Oryzias latipes: one gene and its partners. The main gene of each other region encodes a partner of the protein of the gene in region 3 in a complex. Links are inferred from orthologs where the notes say so. Each region holds a gene or a part of one and is shown on either strand. Other genes may lie near its edges. The genes, in order: ctnna1, cadherin-like protein 26 and ctnnd1.

Region 1 (3,651 bases), about 5.7 Mb from region 3:
CCAGTAATAAAGGTCCATCTAACAAGAAGAAGGGGCGCTCTAAAAAGGCTCATGTTTTGGCTGCTTCAGTGGAGACTGCAACTCAGAACTTCCTTGAGAAAGGAGAGAAGATTGCAAAGGAAAGCCAGTTCCTCAAGGATGAGCTGACGGCTGCAGTGGAGGATGTCCGTAAGCAAGGTATATTAAAAAAGACGCATTGCTGCAGTGTGCGGTTTCTGTTTTGTTTAGAGCGCTTCTGTAAATGGAATAGATAATTAATAAGTCATGGTCTGTGTACTTATCATTTTCCCCAGTGCAAAACTTTGAAATAAGGGTATTTATTGGACAAAATCAACTCCTAATTTATTAATATCCATTTCTGCTTTGAGGTTTTTATGAAGAGCATTTAATGACTTTTCATTAATACATGCAGACATTTAGTAACTTGCCCCTAAACTAACAGTTATGTAAAACGAGAGTGTTATACACACAAAATGTGACTGCATTTGCTAATTCTAGTGTGGGACTAAAGCTTGTATATATTTCAGAGGTTTCTCAGTTAGATTTAACTTTTACTACAATTGAAAGATTTGTCCCACCAATCCTCGCTAAGTTAGTAATGCATAAACAATTTTTGTGGCAGATGTGATGCTTAAAGACCCACTCCAATGAAAATCGTGTTTTTTAAAATGTTCTTGCAGACTTTTTCTCATAAAGGAGGATATATAAAAATAACATTAAGATTAAAACAGCATTTCTGAGGATTTCTTTACTCAAATTGTCAATCGTTGCAAGGTTGGGTTTGTGAGGGGCTGTAAACAAGTGGGAGAGAATGTAAGCAAAAGCAATGGGAGATTGGGAAATGAACGCAGGGTTACTCAGCGTCAACAGTCCTGGCCACAACTGACTGTTGTGGCCAGTTTCTAGGAAATGACACAGGATTTTTTTGGGGGGGCTAAAAACGTCACTATCATAATTAAAAGATCAATGGGAACTCTGTTACAAGATATCAAAAGATGATTGGAATGGTTCTTCAACCTATCCCTGTTACAATCCTCAGAGATTGAAGCAACACTTTGTGAACTGAGAAAAATTTTTAATAGCTTGCTTTTTTTAAGTGAGTCAACCCACTTAGTCTGTTTCTGTTCAGTTTTATTACACATTTATAAAGCTAATAGTCCAACATGGTCAGCAGCACAATTGCAGTCATTCCATCATCTCACAACCAGAAAATATTCTAATTTATTCCTTTTCCCACCCTGCAGTTGCTGTGTTTTGACATGTAAGCAGGGTTGAGGCCCAGAAGCCATGACTTGGGTGGTTTTGATGGCTGTGTCACTATCATTTCTATTTCCTGCTGATTTTTTTTTTTTTTACTGAGTTAGAAATCTTCTACTGTGAATAGTTTTTAGTCTGCTGATGTCTAGTAAGTTAGATATCCTCCACTCTAGATAGTTGGGAGGAAGCAGACGTGTTGCTACATAGCATGTGGCTTGTTCAGTGACCAGGTATGTTAATGTAGTTGTGATAAGCTGTCACTGTGTTGGAATTCAGTGACTGTTAGCTAGTGCCTAGGCCTGGCTGTCAACTATGCCATGCTGCTCAGTGGAGCATGATGAGACTTAAAATACAGCCATCGACTTTGGTAACGTTCCCACTCCCACCATTGCATGGAGCTATGGCTTACAGACTTTTTAAAATGGGAAGAAAAGATATTTCACATAAATCAGATGACTGTTTATTGTATATATATTTTTTAAAATCTCTCTATTAGCAGATTTTCTATTTCGTGGTTGTTTCAACAATTTACCATGTTTATAAATGCTGCTTAGTGAAGCTGAGAAATTTCCATGCCTTTAAGCAGCCATTTCTGCTTACCCATGTCCTTGCTGACCCTCGCCTTGCCCTTCCTCTCTGTCTCTACCTTGTCAAATCTTCTGTAAGGTTATTTGTGTCATATACATTTTAATCATTTTATCATGCACACTTTGGGCTGCATCGCTCAGGGAGCGATGGATAGATGAAAGTTTATTAAAGGCGTACTGATCGCTATCTGCCCTCATGAGAATGGCCTTATTGATTTTCTTCATGGGGGGAATAACAGCCTCGGGGTAGTGTGTCTGTGGTACATATTCTTCATCATTTGCACAAACTGTTGTAGCTTTGGCTTGTAAAATACCTCAATGTGCAATCATTGCCTGTTTTAATATTTTTTTTTAACTTCAACAATGCTTAGCAATGGCGTGAGCAAACAAACTGGTATTTGATATTTTAATAAGATTGTATTTGACACAAAAATAAAAAAAATCTTTGTTAATTGTTCTAACCACACACCACTTAAATACCTAAGGAAAGATGTTAGTTCCTGTACTTTCATAATTTTACCCATGTTCAGTGGACGGATTATTGTAACCTAATAGTGGAATTGCAGTTTCCCATAGCTTAGACTCTATAGATGCACTGCAAACAGACAATTGAAGGAGGAAAAGTGAATACTTGTGAAGCACCTTGACATATCTGGGACTGTGGCTGTCTGGGAGATGACGTCTTCTTACTTTTAACTCCAACTGCTTTTACAGAAACTAAGTGTAGGTTGTTTTTCGCTTGTCGTATTTAGGATGTTGCACAGGTTTATTAATCAATCTAATCCAAGCTTTGTTTTCTTCTTGACTTAAGAAAACTGTACGGTAGTTAAGAATATCTTATCAAATGGAAGATATATACATTATTCTCCATAGAGACATTCTAAGGATTGTAGCAACCACACAGAAAAAAAACCCTCAAAGCTTTTTATAAAACACTTAAAAAATTATCGGATACGGTCTACAAACCTCACTTCCACAAAACAGTTCTGACCCAGATGGTACAAAGTCTGGTGCTACAAGTAAAGCAGAGCATTGTCCACACCCACCTGCTCCTGATTAGCAAACTGCAGTGGGTTCAATACAAACAGAATCTGCAGTCTGAGTAGAAGAACTCATTTTCAATGGTTTTCATAAAACCTGCTACTGGTCAGTTTAAAATAGTATAGTTATTTTCTATACTGACAAACATTTTTGTCAACATCCTTTGAATAAGCTTGTTTAGACTGTTGCTGCTGTGCTGGTCTTACCTTTGTTTTGCCGGAGAATCATTGTTTTTTATTCAGTCTAAGATTGAGCATGCTTGGTGGCTCTGCTTCAGGTGGTATTTCCAGTTTTAGAAGGAACATGTCTTCTGCACAATTTGCAGTGCGCGTTACTACCAGCCAAACATATTTATTTACCGGCCAAATTATTGTAACTCTATTTTACACAGAAATGCCAGTAAAATTATTTAAGAAAATGCACAAAAGTAATTGTCATCTAACTGTGAACTCAAAATCAGAGAAATTCACGATAGATTTCCTAATTCTGCCTCCAGGTGATCACATTTTATATTAAGTCATATAAAAAAAACTAAAAATAATCAAATGTTTATAATTATTGCTATACATCATTGACATTAAAGCTGCAGCTCTCACAAAGAAGGGGAGCAAGAGGATTCAGCACATTTTGTTACACTGCTTTGTAATTCTACAAAGACGCTGCTAAAACACACGGGATTTAATTCTGTTATTGTTTAGAGAATTCCGTTTTTATTAATGTCCTTTTGAATTGATTATTTTTTTTATCTACCACGTCTTAAAGGCCA
Region 2 (4,191 bases), on a different chromosome or scaffold from region 3:
GTAAAGGTTGCTTAAAAAAGGCAAAATAAAGTAAAAATTACTCAGTTTAGTCATTGCTCTGCTAACAGATACATTTCTTTATTTCCTAGTGCACTTTAACTAAAACATTTATGTTGTTTTATTTTTTTTTTCTATGCAGTTAATTATTGATATTTTTTGCCTAAATGTTACTGTCTTATTGTAAAATGTTAATAAGTTCTCACGATTTATCCTCAGATACAGTTAAAATATTTGGTGATATATGTACTCACTTAAAAACAAAAGTAGTCCAGCAATCATTGAGTATATGGCAGGTACTCCAAGGTGAAATGAAAGTGCCTTTTTTACATGACATGTATTATTCTCACAGTCACACACAACCACTTCCAGTGTCTCACGTCCAATATTGTTCTGCTGGTCTTCAATCACCAGTGATATAGAATAGTTTCCATAGGAAAGTGGTTTCAGGTTGATAAGGCCACCTTGCTGACCTGGTGAAACATGCAAAGACAGATATGTTGCTGTTTTATGCACGTGTTTAGTCATATGGATTAACAGATGTGTACATACCATAATATGGATCTAGTTTCCATTGCTTTTTATTGTCATCATTATCAAGTGAGAAATGAAATGGTCCACTATATGGATCAGCATCCAAGTCAATCACAGAAAGCATCATTTTATTGCTCATATTTCCACACATGATGATGCTGTTGTTGACCAGCTGTGGCTTGTGGTCATTGGTGTCCCTCAGGTGGATACTGATGGTGCAAGAACTTGAGGCTGGAGGATCACCTTCAAAGCCATGACAACAAGAAAAAAAAACAGAATCAGATAAACAAAGGATTTTAGATTTTGTTTCAAGTTTGTTTCAGTACCATCATCTATGGCAGCAATGACGACTTTGTAAACATTGTCAGCATCCACGAAGGGTGATTCTCTGTCCATCTTCTTAGTTGCTCTAATTTCTCCAGTTTTTTCATCAACAGAAACCCAGTTAGCTGGATCTTCTACAAGTACAAACCTGGAAACAGTTGGATAAATTAGTGTTCAAACTTTATGCAGACAAGCAAGATGTTCAGTTTCTGGACAGAATGCAGACACTTTACCTGAAGGAAGTAGAGTCTGGATCATGAACCTCTGGGGTGAAGAGAACCTTTCCTGGTTCAGACTCTTCTTTCTCAAACAAATCTACTTTAGTTTTCTGAAACTCTGGTGGGTCATTGCTATCAACCATTAGAACTTTGACACTGACTGAGTCTGGAGGATAAAGTTTGCTTCCCTGTTTAATCAATTTCCCGTTTTCACACTTAGAAAAGGGTTCAATGTTTTCTACCCCAACCTGCAAGTCGACCCAACTGTTTTTTTCATAATTCTTTTCCTGCAAAAGACACACAAATCAAGAATAATCAAAAATGAACCTTTTGTGTTTATCATTTGTGTAAATCATTTTAAAAACATTCAGATTTATTGAGAGCAAATGGAGTTACCTTAATGATGCTCAAAATACCCTCATTTGTTATTGGGTCTGTTTCAAGCTTAAAGATGTCTTCCTCATTCCCGCTGATGAAGAAGTACTTTGCACGCCATCCATCAGTGTTGGGAGTGTCTTTGTCCTCTACTGCCAATCTCAGAAGGTCATCATGGGTCTCCATTTCTGAGGCTTTAGTTTGGTACTAAAACAAGCAAAATTGAAACATTTTTTTTCATTAAAAGTGACTTTAGAGAGTAAAGCAATGACTATTAAATATAAGCTCCTCTTACCTCTCTCTCCTTGAACACTGGCATATTTGTGTTTCTGTCAACAATATTTATCGTAATCTCAGCAGTGGAGGACAATGGAGGGTCTCCATGATCCTTTGCTTGAAGAGTAACACTGTACTTGTTTTCTTTCTGGAACAAAGAAAATAGTTTTAAAGAAACTGAAGCAAAGTATAAAGAAAAACACATAAAAAACTGGCTTTACTTCATAGTTAAAACATCCAGTAAAGTTAAGATGCACAATTCTTTCATCAATCCATTTGGTCTGAATCTTAGGCTCTGGTGGATGCTGTGCAATCACACTGATGTTAAATCTGGAATTTATTGTATTTCTTTCATCCATGTCTTGAGCAATCACTTGCACCTCCAGTAAGCCTAACAGAATAAACAGAAGCAAAACAAAATTATTTCAGGAAAAAACAATTATCAATGGGTTTAAAGAAATATCCCAGCTGGGTATAAAGCTGGTAGCCTACTTGGTTTCAACAATGTCCTATATTTTTAAGTAAACCCACCTTCCTCTTGGTTTTCATCCACAGTAACAGCCTCAGGAATTTCGGTAAACTTTGGGGGATTGTCATTGATGTCCTTTATTACCACATTAAACGCTAGTTCCTTGTCAATTTTTTGGGCGGTCTCTGTGTCGTACACATCAAAGACGACCTTTGGGTAAAAACAAAGGGGTAATCAATTTTCTGGAGCTACATTGAATGATTTCATATCCAAATAAATATCTTATATCATATTTACTCACATGGAAAAAGGGGACATTTATTATCTCTCTGTCAATACGTTTGTTGACATAAACGTCTCCAGATGTTTCATTAATGGTCAAATATCCCAGATCCACTGCTTCTCCGCTTATCTCAAACCTGAATTCTTTCCCTTCTACCTTGTTATTGTACATCTAAGAGAAACATACGCAAAGTCTGATTAAGGTTTTTACATAACTAATCAGTAACTTGATATTTATTTAATAAAGCAAATTTTTTTAGATGACTTTGTTTTACCCTTGCAAGAAAGTAAGGGTAAGTCACATTCAGTTCTTCGTAAAGTTCAAATGTAGACAGAACCCATACTCTTTTAGTCCGCACCAAGAGATCCTGGAAAGGGAAAATTGGAGATTAATGTTTATAAACTTTTTCCATTCGGGGTTGCCTTTCAAACTTTTTACCACTTTACCCGTTTTTTACGAGAGTCCCGGGAACAAAGGCATCCAGCTAAAGCTGCAAATGAAACCTGTAGAAAAAAAAAATCAATTTTATTAAAATAGCAGAAACCATTTACAGTACGGTAAAGTGTGAGGACTGGTATTCTTTCACTTAAGTGTTTTCTTGGTTGTTAGTTTAAAAAACTGTGTGCCGCAGTACACTAGTGTCCTGTGAGAGGTGTTTCCCATGGTGCTATTCAATGTAATCTAATTAGTCTAAACCCCATATACTATTTCCAGCATCTCATCTCTGTGTTCATCATAAAAACTAAGTTTCACATAGAGTATGTAGAAATATGAAAGATCATAACTTTGTTTTTTAATGACTTTTGCAGTTCTAGGACCAAAAGTTCAGTTTTGTCACACAAAACGTACTGATGGACTTGAAGCTTTGGTGCAGTGTAAATAAGGAAGATTTACTTGATTTGTGGGAAATCTTTGATGCTGTTATGATACTCTACATGCTGCTCGTCATTATGCTTTCATCTGAACACAAAGGTTAGTTGCTCACTTTTCTTCGCAGGCAATCAAAAACTAGTTTTGCTTTTAATTACTGGTTGTTTACTTCCTGTTGGATGTATGCACTTTATTTTATTAATTATCATTCTAACTTCTGATTTTTAAGACTGCTTTTTGAACTCTGTTGACCTATACATTAAAGGCTGCTGTGTCTGGATTTTTCTTCTTCTCCACATACCATCTGGAGGAAGGAGACGTCTGAAAAAGCAGGAGTTTGGAATACAAACTGATAAGATTCAGAAACTGTGACCTACTACTCCCATTTCTGCAGCAAGAAGTTTAAACAAGTGTATTGTCAACTACTAACCTTGCATCTCTTAGATTCATTATTTTTTTCTGTAACCAGGGCAACCGATTCTAAATAAAATGGGAGGTCAGACAGGCATCCACAGAACTGCTGTCTGTTTTCAGCTCTCAGTATGAGAAATTCTACTGAGCTCCTGTCTGTTTTTCAACACTGTCTTTTGCTTTTAGAAACAACTTTGACTCTGTTCTCCACCAAGAACTGTGCTTAGACGTGGTCTGGTCCCTTTACCCCTATCAGAATCTTTTCTCTGGGGTTTATTCATTTATGGTCTGAGCTTATTTTACTTTTTATTTTATCATACTGGAAATTTGTTCTCCGCATTTGACCCATCCCCTGGGAGAGGGAACCGCGCTCGGGAGGTAGTAGCGTTTAGGGTCTTGCTTAAGGGCCTTCACTGGGTAATGTTAATTGCTCG
Region 3 (4,100 bases):
TTCTACAAGCAACAGTTTCTTAAAACAATAAATAGAAAATGGCAGTGTATTTTAAAAGTAACATAATTAGAAAACCCCCACAGTGAAAGACTCCAAAACCCAATGGCAGTTCAAAGGGACGAGTCTTCTGCGGTCAGCAACATCTGACTGAACTCTGACTCGCCACAAGTCACATCACAAGCCCATCTGATTCAGCAGCCATCAGTCAGCATGACTCACTCACTCTGATCATCAGAACAAACCAACAATAAATCCTTTGTAGGCTTAATTAAACTCTGCCTAACAGAGCGACAGACAGAAAAAAACATGTTCGATGTTGGCCAGGTATTCACATATTTCCAGCTAGTTAATAGTGTAGTTTGATGTTAAGATTATTTGATACCAAAGCAGAGTGTTGGTTGTACTGAGGACTTACCCCACTAATTAATTTACCTTCTAACACTTTAAAATAGATTTTAAAAATCCACACCAATGGAAGTGCTGTTTGTGGTGTTTTGAACATGTTCTTGTTGCATTTTTGTCCTGTAGAGGACATATATAAAGAAAATTAAGTGGAAAATTGCACGTACTATTTGTATTTTTTTTATCAAATCGTGATGAATCCGGAGCAGACCAAAAATATGCCATTGAAAAAAACATGCTTATGGGTGTGATGTAGCACCTACAACGGTAAGCAACAAACTCCCTGCTCTGCTCCATTCTGGTGCATCCACTCGTAGACGACTAGATCCATGAATGTCTTCGTTTTCCTCATACAAGCTGCCATCCGTCTCAAAACTGTACGGCTGGATAGCTCCAATATTGATCCCTATTTTTGCTGCACCGGTAATGTTAGGTTGGGTCTGTGAGCTAGCGGCAGACAGTGCAAACAGGTGGATGACAGGAGGTGGGCAATCCTGCCCACAACTCAGAGGTGAATTTCGAATGAACTCCTGCCGATCTGCAGAAACTATGTCATAGAAAATTACACAGGGTTTTTGATTTTAGCTAAAAAAAGCATTAATCATAATTAAAAGACCACTGGGAATGCTTTTACAATAGATCAAAAGATGATTGTGTGGGTCTTTAACAAGGATGCTTTATAAAAAAAAAATAGAAATAAATGGACCTACATCCACTTGTTTGAGTCTATTAAAAAACCTGAAGTGTGTCTATTAAAAAACCTGAAGTGTGTGAAAAAGCAGACCAAATTACAGTGGGTGGTGGGATCATTTGTCAACATCCAAACAATGGCTAGAGAGCACAGATCCTCCAGAACAGCCGACATGTGGTGTTACCAGGATCCCCTCCACCACAAACCTGAACCGGTCACACCTATAGTTCAAACACATCCTCTTTAAACATCCACCAGACGCCACTAAAGCCAAAGGAAGGCCTATCGACGCGAGGAATTATAAGCCTGCGTGTAGTCGGTGTTTACGAAGGAAAACGCCAGTCTGTTAGTTCAGGCTGAAGCTGACAGTTGTCCCCACCCAAGCATTTTCCCAACAAAACAAGTTTACACATGACCCACCCAACAGGTTCCGTCTGACAAAGCCATAATCCCAGACTAGCAGACCACAAATGAGAGACCACCGCGCTGACGGTGGAATTAAATACACAAAAGTATTGAGCCTGGATGTTACGTACATACAACAAACACACACACACACACACACACACACACACACAGGCACCCGCACACTTTTCACAAAACATGTACTTCAAATACTGAAGTAAAGTCGGCTGCGCAAACACCCAAAAATATATTTAAAAAAAGAGAAAAAAAGAAACACTAAATTAGTAGAATAAACGTACTTATCGTACTTAATAATCGTGTACCAGTACATAGAAACGCTCCCAGAGACTAGCTAGCTGCTGCTGGGTGAGGTCATTTTACCAGTCCGTGTATCCCAAACACCGCTTGGAAAATGCTACAACTAGTTAGCATTTCCTTCGTCTAACGGCATCCCACACAGCCTTGTGAATGATTAGTAGGCAGAAGACGGGAATATAGGTCACCAGCCGCGAGGAAAGTTAGCTAGAAAAACAAGTTCAAGCGCACACCAGACATGAACCTTTGATATAAAAGAGCTCATTTCGAACAAAGGCTGTCGCAAGAGAGTTCCTCGGTGGTGGTGCTAACGCAAGAGCTCGGCTAAAATGGATCAAATCAACCCAGTTGGGCTGGAAGCTAGCTCCGTCTGACCTGGTTTGACTGTCCCGAGTCGTTAGCATCACAATAAAACTACCACGAAAACGCTCCCGACAGCGGGGCTAGCGCTAGCAAAGCAAACACAGATGATCAAACAGCAATGAAGGGTTCAAAAACGCGACATTTTCAGGGCAACGTGGACCTTTTTCTCTCGGTATACACGATGGCGTCAAAGGCCTAATAATATTTGGAATGAGCACGGCTGGTGACGAAGGAACAAATCAGGGTCTGAACTTGTGCGCTAGCTTTTATTAGCATAAAAGATTCGTGCTGATCTGTCGGAATACATGACCACTCCTTAGAACTGCAGAGTGTCCCGGCAATCTTCAAAGAAAATCCACGCGCGCGACAAATCATCGGTAAAAATCCAAGAATTGGCTCACCTGGTTGAGGAAATCCTGCACCCGACCTCACTCAGACTACCCAGTTTTAGGTGTTTTCTGCCTCTTCCCGTCTCCTAGCTTAAAGAGGTGAGATATCACCGAGTTTCTATCAAAGGGAGGGTGGGATCAACAAGCAGCTTTACCGTAAAGCACTGCGCTCCCACAAAAAACCAGCAGGTTGGTGGTTACAGACACCACAGAGTTCTGCTTTTTGCGCAGTTTTTATTTTTTGTATAAATAGTTTTAATGGACAAACTGAGCTACACCTCTAGTCTGCCGGGGATTTAAATTATGTCGCAATATCACCTTCCGCGTGTCCCTCCCTTCACGATGTCACGTCTGTGATTGCTCAATAAGAATGGCCAAGGGGCAATAGATAGTCTCACGTGGGTGGGAGTACTTCAGCTTTTTTACATGAATGAATTCCCCCAAAATAAGGTTAATCAGATCCTTCACATTTTCTTAACATTTATATTTCTTACCAAAAATGTAACATACCTTGTTTTGGCAAATTATTTATTGCTCAAGCACTGTTTTTGCTTTTTTTTTTTTTTTAACATGTCAGTCTAGAATTGGCTGTGAAGGTCTTTTTTCATTTTCAAGATTTTGGGGTAAAAATCGAAGAAAAAGAAATGTGAACTTGAAAAACAAGGCATCAGCGTGGACATACAAACATGGAAAGAGGAACAATGCCAGGAATTCCCCCCAGCTTCCGTATGAGCTCCCCCCGAAGTGCTTTTGTAATAGGAAGAAGGCATAAATATAATCAACAATACTGCTCACTTGGAATATATGGTGATTAAAACAATAAAATATTTTGGGCACAAACGGAACCTCATAGTATTTAAACAAATAAATTAGGTTTTTAATTTTTAAAAACTTAGTCATTCAGAAAATATGAATCTATCTTATACGGGAAGCTTTACTTTTATCTAAAGTTTAAAGATTTGCAGCTAAGTTTTGTAGCCTAATGTTTGAATCAGGAATCTGTGTTTTTCAAGCAGTTGTCATTCAGTAGAAGTGTTAATAAACCCATCCCCAGCTGATTTACTTTACCAAAACTCAAAAAGATGAGCAACAACTTACAGTATTTTTGCGTCACAGATTTTTCATCAAGAATGTGCGGCAGCAGTTTACAAATGTGGTGTTGCAAGCTTCACTTTCAACGAACACAGGCGTGTCAGTTAAGTTTTAAAGAAAGTTCAACCCCAAAAATACGTATTTAGAACCAATTCACGATTTTCTTTTAATCTTTAAATCACAATTAAGCTTATAGTTTTAAAGTCTAGTTTGTCAAATCTGACAAAGACCTTTTAAAGACTTAATTGATATCCATAATAGCAAAGAAGCTATGCTGGTTGTGGGATTCTTAACAATGATTCTAAGTAATTGAAATTATAGCTCTAATGTTTTAAAACAGAACAGACTTAAGTCTTTCACTAGGGATTTGCTAAATAAAATCATAAAACAAACAAAAAAAGTTGTTTTTCTTGTCTATTATTTTCATTTTGTACCTTATGTAA

The links.
Region 1: ctnnd1 (region 3) and ctnna1 share a complex: the UniProt entries of both Homo sapiens proteins name them as parts of the cadherin:catenin adhesion complex. The link is inferred for Oryzias latipes from reciprocal best matches to the Homo sapiens genes CTNND1 and CTNNA1.
Region 2: ctnnd1 (region 3) and cadherin-like protein 26 share a complex: the UniProt entries of both Homo sapiens proteins name them as parts of the cadherin:catenin adhesion complex. The link is inferred for Oryzias latipes from reciprocal best matches to the Homo sapiens genes CTNND1 and CDH26.

The regions. Positions count from the first base shown.
Region 1 is NC_019868.2:19,904,474-19,908,124, forward strand, and holds part of ctnna1 (catenin alpha-1), read left to right. Parts: coding exon 1-177; intron 178-3,651. UniProt on the Homo sapiens protein: Associates with the cytoplasmic domain of a variety of cadherins. The association of catenins to cadherins produces a complex which is linked to the actin filament network, and which seems to be of primary importance for cadherins cell-adhesion properties.
Region 2 is NC_019865.2:18,096,642-18,100,832, reverse strand, and holds the start of cadherin-like protein 26, read right to left. Parts: upstream 2,861-4,191; 5' UTR 2,751-2,860; intron 2,648-2,750; coding exon 2,495-2,647; intron 2,404-2,494; coding exon 2,256-2,403; intron 2,116-2,255; coding exon 1,946-2,115; intron 1,873-1,945; coding exon 1,744-1,872; intron 1,656-1,743; coding exon 1,470-1,655; intron 1,361-1,469; coding exon 1,089-1,360; intron 1,004-1,088; coding exon 858-1,003; intron 775-857; coding exon 550-774; intron 471-549; coding exon 252-470; intron 1-251. UniProt on the Homo sapiens protein: Cadherins are calcium-dependent cell adhesion proteins. They preferentially interact with themselves in a homophilic manner in connecting cells; cadherins may thus contribute to the sorting of heterogeneous cell types.
Region 3 is NC_019868.2:14,176,653-14,180,752, reverse strand, and holds the start of ctnnd1 (catenin delta-1), read right to left. Parts: upstream 2,865-4,100; 5' UTR 2,721-2,864; exon of another isoform or gene 2,656-2,720; 5' UTR 2,578-2,655; intron 1-2,577. UniProt on the Homo sapiens protein: Key regulator of cell-cell adhesion that associates with and regulates the cell adhesion properties of both C-, E- and N-cadherins, being critical for their surface stability.